Linked DNA regions of Sus scrofa. The protein of the gene in region 1 purifies or fractionates together with the protein of each later gene. This does not show direct contact. Links are inferred from orthologs where the notes say so. Each region holds a gene or a part of one and is shown in the gene's direction. Other genes may lie near its edges. The genes, in order: SNX4, SNX7 and SNX30.

Evidence for each region.
Region 2: the proteins of SNX4 (region 1) and SNX7 purify together in Homo sapiens (affinity purification with mass spectrometry; 3 studies listed by BioGRID and IntAct, counting the BioPlex papers as one, with this or other methods). This does not show direct contact. The link is inferred for Sus scrofa from reciprocal best matches to the Homo sapiens genes SNX4 and SNX7.
Region 3: the proteins of SNX4 (region 1) and SNX30 purify together in Homo sapiens (co-immunoprecipitation; 4 studies listed by BioGRID and IntAct, counting the BioPlex papers as one, with this or other methods). This does not show direct contact. The link is inferred for Sus scrofa from reciprocal best matches to the Homo sapiens genes SNX4 and SNX30.

The regions. Positions count from the first base shown.
Region 1 is NC_010455.5:134,837,517-134,841,167, forward strand, and holds part of SNX4 (sorting nexin-4), read left to right. Parts: intron 1-1,439; coding exon 1,440-1,561; intron 1,562-3,651. UniProt on the Homo sapiens protein: Involved in the regulation of endocytosis and in several stages of intracellular trafficking. Plays a role in recycling endocytosed transferrin receptor and prevent its degradation.
Region 2 is NC_010446.5:119,217,806-119,221,456, reverse strand, and holds part of SNX7 (sorting nexin-7), read left to right. Parts: intron 1-1,723; coding exon 1,724-1,922; intron 1,923-3,651. UniProt on the Homo sapiens protein: Involved in the regulation of endocytosis and in several stages of intracellular trafficking. Together with SNX4, involved in autophagosome assembly by regulating trafficking and recycling of phospholipid scramblase ATG9A.
Region 3 is NC_010443.5:253,427,255-253,431,005, forward strand, and holds the start of SNX30 (sorting nexin-30), read left to right. Parts: upstream 1-1,206; 5' UTR 1,207-1,522; coding exon 1,523-1,678; intron 1,679-3,751. UniProt on the Homo sapiens protein: Involved in the regulation of endocytosis and in several stages of intracellular trafficking. Together with SNX4, involved in autophagosome assembly.

The DNA.
Region 1 (3,651 bases):
TTAAAACATACCTCTGAACTTTGAAACTGAACAAGGGAGAAAAAACCCAAAGCACAGCAGTTAGCACCAAGTCTCACTGTGTTTATAGTCGAAGTTACTTTGGGTGTATTAAGATCCTTCTTCACTGGCACACTTCCTGCACATGTAGCCTATGACCCACCAGTGGTATGTTTGTCAGTCTCTTTGGGGCTTTGATACAAACCTGGGGATGATCTAGCAAGAAAAGAAAGATGTCTCCTCTTCTTAAAACCTGCTGTCCCAGATAAAGTCCTACTATATAACACAGGAAACTATATTCAGTATCTTGTAATAAACCATAGTGGAATAGACTCTGAAAAAATACATGTTGCAGTTCCTGCTGTGGCACAGTAGGTTAAGAATTTGACCGCAGCAGCTCGGGTTGCTGCAGAGGTGTGTGTGCCATCCCTGACCTGGTGCAGTGGGTTAAAGGATCTGATGTTTCTGCAGCTTTGGTATAGGTCACAGCTGTGTCTTGGATTCAGTCCCTGGCCCAGGAATTTCCATATGCCTCAGGTGTGGCCATTAAAAAAAAAAAATATATGTATAACTGAATCACATTGCTGCACACCAGAAACTAAAATAACATTGTAAATCAACTATACTTCAATAAAAAATAAATTTTAAACAATATTAAAAAAAAATCCTTGTGCTGTCTCATAGTGGAGACTGCTGTTAACCACTGCTGAAGAAATTTAGGCAAATTTAGGAGTTCCCACTGGCACAATGGGATCGGCAGCATCTCTGCAGTGCTGGGACACAGGTTCGATCCCTGGCCTGGTGCAGTGGATTAAGGATCCGGTATTGGCACAACTGAGGTGTAGGTTGAAAACTGTAACTCAGATCTTATCCCTGGCCTGGGAGCTCTGTATGCCTCAGGGTGGCCAAAAAAGGGAGGGGAAAATATTTAGGCAAATTTATAGTTGAATATGTGATAATTCCTACTTTTTTTCCCAAATTAACTTGCCACCTGAAAAGCTAACCTTTTGGCATCTATATCGTATTTTATATTTGAAAGAGAGAGTTCACTTTGGTAAATAAAAAGATTAGGTATCAGTATTGATGATCATTCATCTTTGTATACAATGTTTTTAGATTTTTTTCTTATGTATTTCTGTATACATTTATTCTTGGTCACTTATGTGAAATATCTTTTTTTAATTTTTTCTCCTATTATCTTACCTACATTTTAGAGTGTATGGTACTTGTTAAAATAGCATCTAGAAAAGTTTAATGTACTACAGTCTGCTGATTATAAGGGGCATATCATTTGTTGCTGTCATTTAGCAACCTCTAGCTACTCAAGAAGTTCAAGAAAGTAGCTTGAAATATGTACTAATAATGGATTTTATTTTAATAGGTCGTTTTTTTCAATATTAATTTTTGAAGTTTTTTGTTGTTCTTCCATTTCCTTTGTTCAGATGACAGAAAATAATTTTTGGTTGAAGAAGATAGAAATTAGTGTTTCAGAAGCAGAAAAGCGAACTGGAAGAAATGCCATGAACATGCAAGAAACATATACTGCTTACCTCATTGAAACAAGGTGAGTGATGAGAATTAGGCCTAGGTTTGGCTAGAAAAAGCTTTGGTAGTTGTTGATGCAAATTCTGTTGTATAGTGGAATTGTTTACAGGTCATTGTTTTTTTAGAGAATTTTTTGTTGTTTTTTTTTTTTTTTTTTTTTTTTGGTCTTTTTAGGGCTGCACCTGCGACACATGGCAGTTCCCAGGCTGTAGTTGCTGGCTTATGCCACAGTCACAGCAGTGCCAGACCCGAGCTGTGTTTGTGACCCAACACCACAGCTCACAGCAATGCCAGATCTACAGCTTGACATTAACTAAAAGTTGAACTTTTATCATTCATTTATTACCTACTCTTGGGGCACTAGTAGAAAGTCCATTTAGCAATTGCCTATAGTATTAATAGTTTAGTACACTAAGAATGAATAAGGCTGAAGTCTCTGTTTGATTTTATTTTTAAATTTTTTATTTAAAATATAGTTGATTTACAGTGTCATATCATTTCTGCATACAGCACAGTGACCTAGTCACACCTATACACACACACACACACACTCTGTCTCTCTCTCTCTCTCCTTCACCATCATGGTCTATCCCAGCAGACTGGATACAGTTCCCTGTGCTGTACAGTAGGACCTTATTGCTTATCCTTCTCAGTTTAATAGTTTGCATCTACTAATCCCAAACTCCCAGTCCATCCCACTCCCTCCCCGTCCCCCAGGTAGCCACAAGTCTGTTCTCCATGTCCGTGAGTCTGTTTCTGTTTTGTAGATAGGTTTAATTGTTCTGTGTTTTATTTTATTTATTTATTTATTTATTTATTTATCTTTTCTAGGGCCACACCCTTGGCACATGGAGGTTTCCAGGCTATGGGTCTTATTGGAGCTGTAGCCGCTGGCCTACACCGCAACCACAGCAGTGCTGGATCTGAGCCTTGTCTGTGACCTTCATCACAGCTCACAGCAGTGCTGGATCCTTAACCCACTGAGCAAGGGCAGGGATCGAACCTGCAACTTCATGGTTCCTAGTCGGATTCGTTAACCACCGAGCCACGACAGGAACTCCAATTGTTCCATATTTTAGATTCCACTTATAAGTGATATCATATGGTATTTGTCTTTCTCTTTCTGATAAAGTTGCTGATTTAATTTCTCCAGAGATTTTGTTTTCCTGTTCATAGAATATGAACCTTTTTTTTTTTTTTTTTTTTTGTCTTTTTGCCTTTTCTAGGGCCGCTTCTGCAGCATATGGAGATTCCCAGGCTAGGGGTCTAATCGGAGCTGTAGCCACCAGCCTATGCCAGAGCCACAGCAACAAGGGATCTGAGCTACGTCTGCAACCTACGCCACGCTTACGGCAACGCTGGATCGTTAACCCACGGAGCAAGGGCAGGGATTGAACCCGCAACCTCATGATTCCTAGTCGGATTCGTTAACCACTGAGCCACGACGGGAACTCCTAATATGAACCTTTTAAAATGGGTAAGAGTACTGTATGTAATAATAGGTAAGAATGACTCCATGGCTTGGGAGGCTATATGTTGTCTTTACTTAATTCTTCTAATTTGTAAAAGAGGGTTATGATACTACCTACTTTATTGTCAGGGTTAAATCAAATGTTTCATGTAAAACCAATTATGTGCTTTTTATGTTTGTTCGTTTTTGCTTTTTAAGCCTGCACCTGTGGCATATGGAGGTTCCCAGGCTAGGGGTCCAATCAGAGCTACAGCTGCCGATCTATACCACAACCACAGCAATGACAGATCTGAGCCATGTCTGCCACCTACGCAGCAGCTCACGGCAACACAGGATCCTTAACCCACTGAGCGAGGTCAGGGATCGAACCTGCAACCCCATGGTTCCTAGTCAGATTCGATTCTGCTGCGCCATGATGAGAACTCGTAAATATTTGTTAAATGATTGGGTAAATTGGGTGGTTTGGGGTCTAAAGAAAATCTCTGTGCCTTTAGACGTTTTCTAGTGACTAGGCCCTGCCTTTTGTGGCCATTAAAAAAAAAGAAGAGGAGGAATTTTCTTGTGATACAGTGGGTTAAAGATCTGGTGTTGGTGCTGCTGTGGTGCAGGATTGATCCTTGGCCCGGAAACTTTCACAT
Region 2 (3,651 bases), on another chromosome or scaffold:
GTCAGAAACATTCTCTGCCATCAATAGTTGCAGTAACAGCTTTGCCACCTGTGACTTGTGCTGTTTCCGATAATGCTTTGCTCTAGCAGATGATGTGGTAGCACTCCTGGATGGCTGTGTTGCCTGGTCAGGGATGGCATCTGTTATTATTTGCACACAAAATCATCCTGACATGGAGATCAACAAGTTGATATAGTTTGTGTTAAGACCTCAACAAAAGAAAGAAAGTCTGGACAAAAGATAATGTGTTATTTAATATTGGGGTAAATAATATATAATGTTATCTGTGGATTTGGTTGTCAGCATTGTTATGTATAGATTTGTGTGTGTGTATATGTTCTTTAACTTCTATTTGATCCCAAACCCATATTGAAACATGTGCCACAGCCATCATCAGAATCCCTTTTCCTCCTTCTCCGGGTTCTTTTTTAGTATGCGGTCCTTGTGAAGGGATGCTCTTGTGTGGTGTAGCCTTTTATAGCATCTCTACTTTGCAAGCCTGTAGCTCACCCTCCTTGGTTAACTGTGAAACAGCTAGTTACATATTTTATTAAAAGTCCCTCTCCAAAAATAGCCAGTGGAGATAGAGTCACAGCTTACCCAGGGAAGTTGGTTGAGGAGCGATGGTCAGGTTTGCCAGCCATGCTAGTGACTTTAAGAAGACAAAGCACAAAAGAAACAAACAAAAAAGAAGACAAAGCAGGTTAGGGCTTTGCAATGAAGCCCCTGCAGTCAGACTGGCGGGACTCTGATCCTTGTCCACCAGTGCATTGCTCTTGACCTCAAGCAAGCACTTTAACCATTCTGCGCCTCTGTATTCCTCTGTAAGATGAGAGTAATAATAGAACCTACTGCGTAGTGTTAATGTGAGTTACATATATAAAAATGCAAGGGAGTTATCATTGTGGCTCAGTGGTAAAAAACCCAACTAGTACCCATAAGGATGTGGGTTCGATCCCTGGCCTCACTCAGTGGGTTAAGGATTTGGCATTGTCGTGAGCTCTGGTGTAGGTCACAGACTTGACTCAGATCTGTCCTTGCTGTGGGTGTGGTGCAGGCCGGCAGTTCCAGCTCTGATTGGACCCCTAGCCTGGGAAGTTCCATATGCCATGGATGTGGCCCTAAAAAGACAAAAACAAAAAAAAAGCAAGTATTGTACCTGCAACATATGTAAATGTTAGCTATTATTATTATAAAATTTCATGGTGTTAACGAGTTATATAGATAAAAAAATGGAAGTATTGTACCTGTGGCATATTAAGCTCTTAATAAATGCTCGCTATTATTATAACTAATGAATTAATGGAGTTTTCCATTTTTTTTTCTTCTTGGGAATAGTTTAGACCCTGAGAAATCTCCTAATCATTTTTCTATTAAATTTCTGTTATAAAATCTAGAGTTCATCTGAAATCATCCTTTTGATCTTCTCCAGTATCTCTTTAAGCAAGATCCCCTCAATTAAACTGTTCTTGGAAGATCCATGCTCTGAGGCAGCATGTGGATGTGTTTTACATGAGAACTTTGAAAAGGAATATTATTAGCAAGGAGACCTGTACCCTAAATTCATCTATTTCAAATCAATAGTTTGCAAAAAGATGTATAAGAAACATGTTATTATCTTTATTTTATTCTTCTAATTAAGTTTCTTTTTTGTTGTTGGGTCTTGGCATATCATTGTTGCTTCATCACAAATACTGTATTTCTTTTGTTTGTTTGTTTCTAGGAGCTCTCTTCTCACAAGAAGCAAGGGCCTGGATTACTTAGCAGGATGGGGCAGACCGTCAGATCGGTGGCATTGTCAATGAGAGGAGTTAAAAGCCGCCCCGAGGAGTTCATGGAAATGAATAACTTTATTGAAATATTTAGCCATAAAATAAACTTGATAGATAAAATATCTCAGAGAATCTACAAGGAAGAAAGGGGTACGTAAAGTCCCTGAAATGGGATTTCAAAGTTGTTGACTTTCTGATGGATCTTTTACATGTATTGATGTAGTGGGAGCAAGACAGCATCAGCTTAGCATTTCTTTTTAGTTATTCTTAGGATTTCCATCTCTGCTTAGTGTCCATCTGTTATTGTTTATCTCTTAGAGCCTTTAAACGTATTAATCAGAGTCATTTTAAAGTCTAGTCTGATAATTCCAGCACCCCTGCCAAAGCTGGTTCTGATGCTTGCTTTCTCTTTCAGTTGTGTTTTCTGCCTTGTATGTCTTTTTTCATGGCAGCAGGACATGATGTACCGATAAAACGAACTGCGGTGAATAGGCAATAGGCGTTGGTGATGTGCTGAGGTGTGGGGGAGGGGCAGTGTGCTCGGAATCCTTGCTGAGGGTCTCAGGCTTTTAGTGAGGCTGTGCCCGTGGACTGGGAGCTTCACAAAAGTTTAGTTTTTTTTTGTTTTTTTTTTTTTTTTTTTTTTTTTTTTTTTTTTTTGAGCTCTCATTTTCAAGGAGAATGCACAGTGGCCCGAACTTGAGGGCTTTCTTGGGCTTTCAGATGTGAAACCTGCTTGTCAAGATGTCATTGAAAACAATGGAATTTTTTAAGAAGTAGTTTTGGGAATCTAAGCTACATAGAGCATTTCATTCATAAACCATGAAGGATCTGGAGATCATAACTAGTGGTTTCTCTTTTTATATCTTATTCGATTGTTTTCTTTGATTTTGCTTTATTTTGTGTTCCTCAGCTTCTTTGGCAAATATGTATTGACCACATGTTATGCTGCTGCTTTGTGCTGAAGAGTTAAAGGGGTGATGAAACAGTACCTCCCTTGAGCTCATAGTCTTAGTTGACAAAGGAGTTATATTAACAGACAAATTACCATGCCCCCCCATTAAATGTTTGCACACGAAGGTGGTTTAAGTGCTATCTAAGCATTGTTTAGAATTTCAAGGAAGCTCTCTATGTAAAAGTAAATACTGCATGGGTTTAATGACACACAATGATATACACACAACTTGAGAGAAGAAATAAAGGAGAGCATTTTATTTTCTAGAAATATTAGCTATTATGGCATCGGGAGAGTGCAGTTTGGAGGGGCTCTCGTGTTCATTAAGCCTAATGTCTTCCTTAGGTGACAACTAATATTTCTATTGTTTTTACATTTTTAAAGTTTTTTTTCCCGTTTACTTGAACATGGAAACTTTTGAAATTCTAATAGTTTAGGAAAAAGTTTAATGTAGAGCAGTATGACATATTTCAACTAACCCTAATGAGTAGTAAGATTAAATACAGAGAATTTAATTATGTTGATATGAATAGTAGACCAAAAATCTCTCTGCGTATACATTCCCTGCCTTTGAAAAGCCATCTATCATTCAAAGTTGATAGCGTAAAAGCAAAAATATAAAAATACACAGATTTTAAATGAAATCCAAATTTTTGAATAAATGGCTTATCAAGCATTGAGTAGTCTTTTGTTCATCATTCTTTCATTGATATGAAAATATTTATTAAATACATTATGTATTAGGCTTTGAGATTAAAAAATAAGACTCAGCCCTGTTTTAAGGAGCATATGTCCTAGGAGTATGAGAGTTATGCAAGCAGTCATAATAGAGTGGGGTAATAGAAGTATTAAATTATGATAGGCTTTAATAGACATATAAAATTATAATAGGCTCACTGAAGACAAAGCATCTGAGAATCCCTT
Region 3 (3,751 bases), on another chromosome or scaffold:
GCCCCCTGGTCCTGTTCTCCACAACCAAGACAGACCCACATAGGGGAGAGAAAAGATGAGAACTCAAGCCTTGAGGCCAGATGACTTGCACTAGAGAAAACAAGGTAAGGTCTCTGAAGCTCCGTGAATCCCTGGGTGTTATTGTGTGTTAGCATAAACCCTCTGCATTCTCTTCCTGCTGAAGTATATAGAATGATGAGGTATTCTAGAAAAAAACAGCGCGGTGGAGACCACAGTCAATCCCAGCTTCAAGATTAGCCGGGTGAAAGTGGACGAACCCAGTGTTTGGCGACAGGGGCAAAGAAAAACGTGCTCCCTTCACAACGGGCCCCTCTACCCATTACTTTGTGAGTATCGACCTGTTCTTACAGCAGGTTGAGGACCTCTACAGACTTGGCCCTGAGCGCAGAAGCTGTGAAGCCAGGTAAGGTGGAAAAAGGAGGTAAACTTCAAAGAGCCAAGAGGCTTTGGCAATCTCCATTCTGCTGGCACATAAAAACCTCAGAATCCAGCCCAGCCAAAGGCCTGGAAAGGAAGCACAAAAGAATGAAAACTAACGGGAGCCTCGGTCAAGGTGTGAGTGTAAGGGTCATTGATCCTGGGTAGCACTCCCTGCCTTTATTTCTTGATGCTCACTCTTCTGAGGTTTAACCTTACATAAACCCGGGTGACCCGCAGATGCAAAACCACGGGGATCTTGCATCGGAAGAAACCCCACACGCCTCCTCGAATTCTCTTCCAGGTTCCTTGCCCGATGTTCTCGATCCCCTGGGAGCCTCATAATCTTTTTACGCCATTCTTATAATATGCGTCGTAATATCTTCCATTTTGGATTATTTTAGAGGCCAGAAGATCCCCACTCCCGTGCGTGTCCTAAAGCCCCCAGCTCCAAGCGCGGCTGCCTCTGGGTGCACCAGTGATCGCGGTGGAACGGAACAAGATCCTCCAACGTCTTTCTCCACCCCTGATTTCCGTTAAATATCCGCTCCGGGGGTCTGCGCGCAGCCTGCAAGGGCCGGCCTCCCGGAGGCGAGCCTGGACTCTCGGAGGACAGCGGCGGAGGGCTCCCGGCGCACTTCCTGCGGGACGGCGGCCGGGGGCGGAGCTGCCCGCCTCCCCCCTCCCCCGTGCCCCTCCCTCCGCCCTCCTCTCCCCGCCCCCGCCCCCTCCCAGAGCGGCCGGGCGCCGCGGGGGCGGGGCCGCGAGCGGGCTGGGCGGCGTGGCGGTGCGGGCTGGGCTGGCGCCGGGGCCAAGGTGCGAGCGGACCCGCCACGGGCTCGGGAGCAGAGTCGGGGCGCGCGGCGCGGAGCTGGGTAGCACAGTTCAGCCGACCCAGCGCGGGCAGACAGGAGCCCGCGGGTGGCGGCGGCGGCGGCGGCGGCGGCGGCTTCCAGACCGGTTGGTGCTGGGCCTCCGACCGAGCCGCGGCCGAGCGGGGCCTTGGCCCGGGCGCTGGGGGAGCCCGCGGCGGCGGGCAGCAGGAGGAAGCGGCGGCGGCGGCGAGTCCCGAGCGGTGCGCGCCATGTCGGGCAGGCCCCCCAAGGCCCTGCCGTCCACGGGGCCCCACTCCCTGCGCGACATGCCGCACCCGCTGGCCGGCTCCAGCAGCGAGGAGGCCGTGGGCGGCGACAGCACGCCCAGTCCGGACCTGCTGATGGCCCGCAGCTTCGGCGACAAGGTAGGGCACGTGGGACTGGGAATCGTTTCGCTCCCTAGGGAGACGAGATACCTGGAGCACCACTGGGCACGGGCCGCGCCCACCCTGGCGCTCCTTTCCGGGGGCAGGCGTGCCCTCGCCCCAGAGCCTTGGGAAAATTATCTCTCTGCCGCCCCCGCGGGGTCGCAGCCGCAGGGGGAGCGGACAGAAGGGACGGAATTGCCCGGCTGTGACTGGTCGGGAGCGCCAGTGACAGCTGGTGGGGAGGGGTCCCGCCTGGCGGTTGTGGCCGGAGGCGTGGGTGCAGTACTAGGTCCTAGGTCCTGGGATGGGGTCTCGGATCCTCCGGACACATCCCTGAAAGCTGAGCTACCGTGTCACTTGTAGCTCCTCCAGTTTGCTGGGATTGCCAAGAAGCAAGAGTTAATGGTTTTCCGTGGTCTCACTGCCAGAGGCGTCTTACCCTCGTTCTGTCTTGTGGGGAGTGAGATCTTTGTTTAGGTTTGCTGTGTGCCCTGAGGAGTCACCTGACTCAGACCCCAGCTGGCTGCGGGAGGAGCGAGGAGCGTATCCCTGTGGTTTCCTATTTGGAGCTCCATCCACCTCTGCCGATCTCCCACACTGTTTAGGGTTTGGCAGAGGCTGGTTTTGTGTTTGATGGAAAGAAAGGTCGCCCTTTGACCTTCTTTGTGTAGAGAGAGGCTCTTGGTTTTCCTTAGAGCAGCATGACCCTCCCGCTGCCTTGAGAGACAGCAGAGTCCGGTGAGGGGTAAGGGGCGGCGTCCCCCCTCCCCCCGCAGAGTTGCTAGTTCAGCTGTGACCAGGACTTGAGCTGTGATTGTATCAGCGCCACTGTTGCCACTTAGTCACTAATTGCAGGAATTAGAATTGTTCTCAACCCCTGTGATCACGCTTGTCCCGTCCTAGTAAAATAGTTAAGTGGATTCCTCCTTGTCCCAAAATTAAATGGAATCAGGGAACCTAACTTTCTTTCCCTCTTAGATGGAAGGACATGTGGTACAGTAAAAATGAGTATGAGTGCATTGAGCAGTCAGAATAGCTGGAGATGTACCTTCCCCAGAGGGTTTGTGAAAGCAAAGAGTGCCGGGGCTGGGGATGGGGTAGGGGTCGGCAAAGCATTAGGAAAGAGACATCTTAAGCTAATGAAAGCAATGGATTGAACAGCTTGAGTTGTGTTTGGAAGGGCGCTCTTTGTATTTCTCTTTATTTTATAGAAGATTAGAGACCGTATGAAGGCTTATATCACTTGGAAATACCTTGCCCATGTTTGACATTCAATATGAAATTGACTGAATGACTGAATGAGTAATTTGATGCTTTTTTAAGGACAGAGAACTTGGTGCTACATGCATGTAGGAGGGGAACTGAAGTTAAACCTCCAATTTCTTTCTCAGGTTTGTGTAGGATAGTGAATTAATTATCTACTGCTGTATAACCAATTACTCCAGAACCTTGCGTCTGAAAATAGTACCTGTGGGTCAGAAATCTGGGAGCAGCTTAACTGAGTGGTTTTGACTCAGGTCTTTCATGAAGTTGCATTCACTGAAGACTGGATTGAGGGTGGATCAGCTCCCAAGCACACTGACTTGGCTGTGGGCAGGCCTTAGTTCCTCTTCATGGGGCTGCTTGATGTGGCAACTGGTTTCCCCTGGAGCAAGTGATCCAAGAGATGAAGAGACCCCAAGACTCAAGCCACAGTCTTGTATAAGCTCCTTTCAGAAGTGACATTCTTCTGCCATATTCTCTAGGTCACATTGACCATCATTGGTACAGCATGGGAAGAGGGTGTGGATATCAGGAGGTGGGGATTATTGGGGTCACATTGGAGGCTGGCTACAACCGATGGCTCTTTTTAAATAGCTGCTTAAGGATCCATTCTTGGAGGACATCTGATTCAGAAGTGTGGGCATTTTGCTACTAACTAATGGGAGGACACATACCCCCAAGATCTAGTTGGTGCACAGGAAGTCATGCCTAAGTCACATATCTTTGGCTTCCTTTACAGGGACAGTTCCATGAAAGAGAGTCTTTTTTTTTTTTTCCCCCCTCCATTCTTTTTATGGTTGTACCACA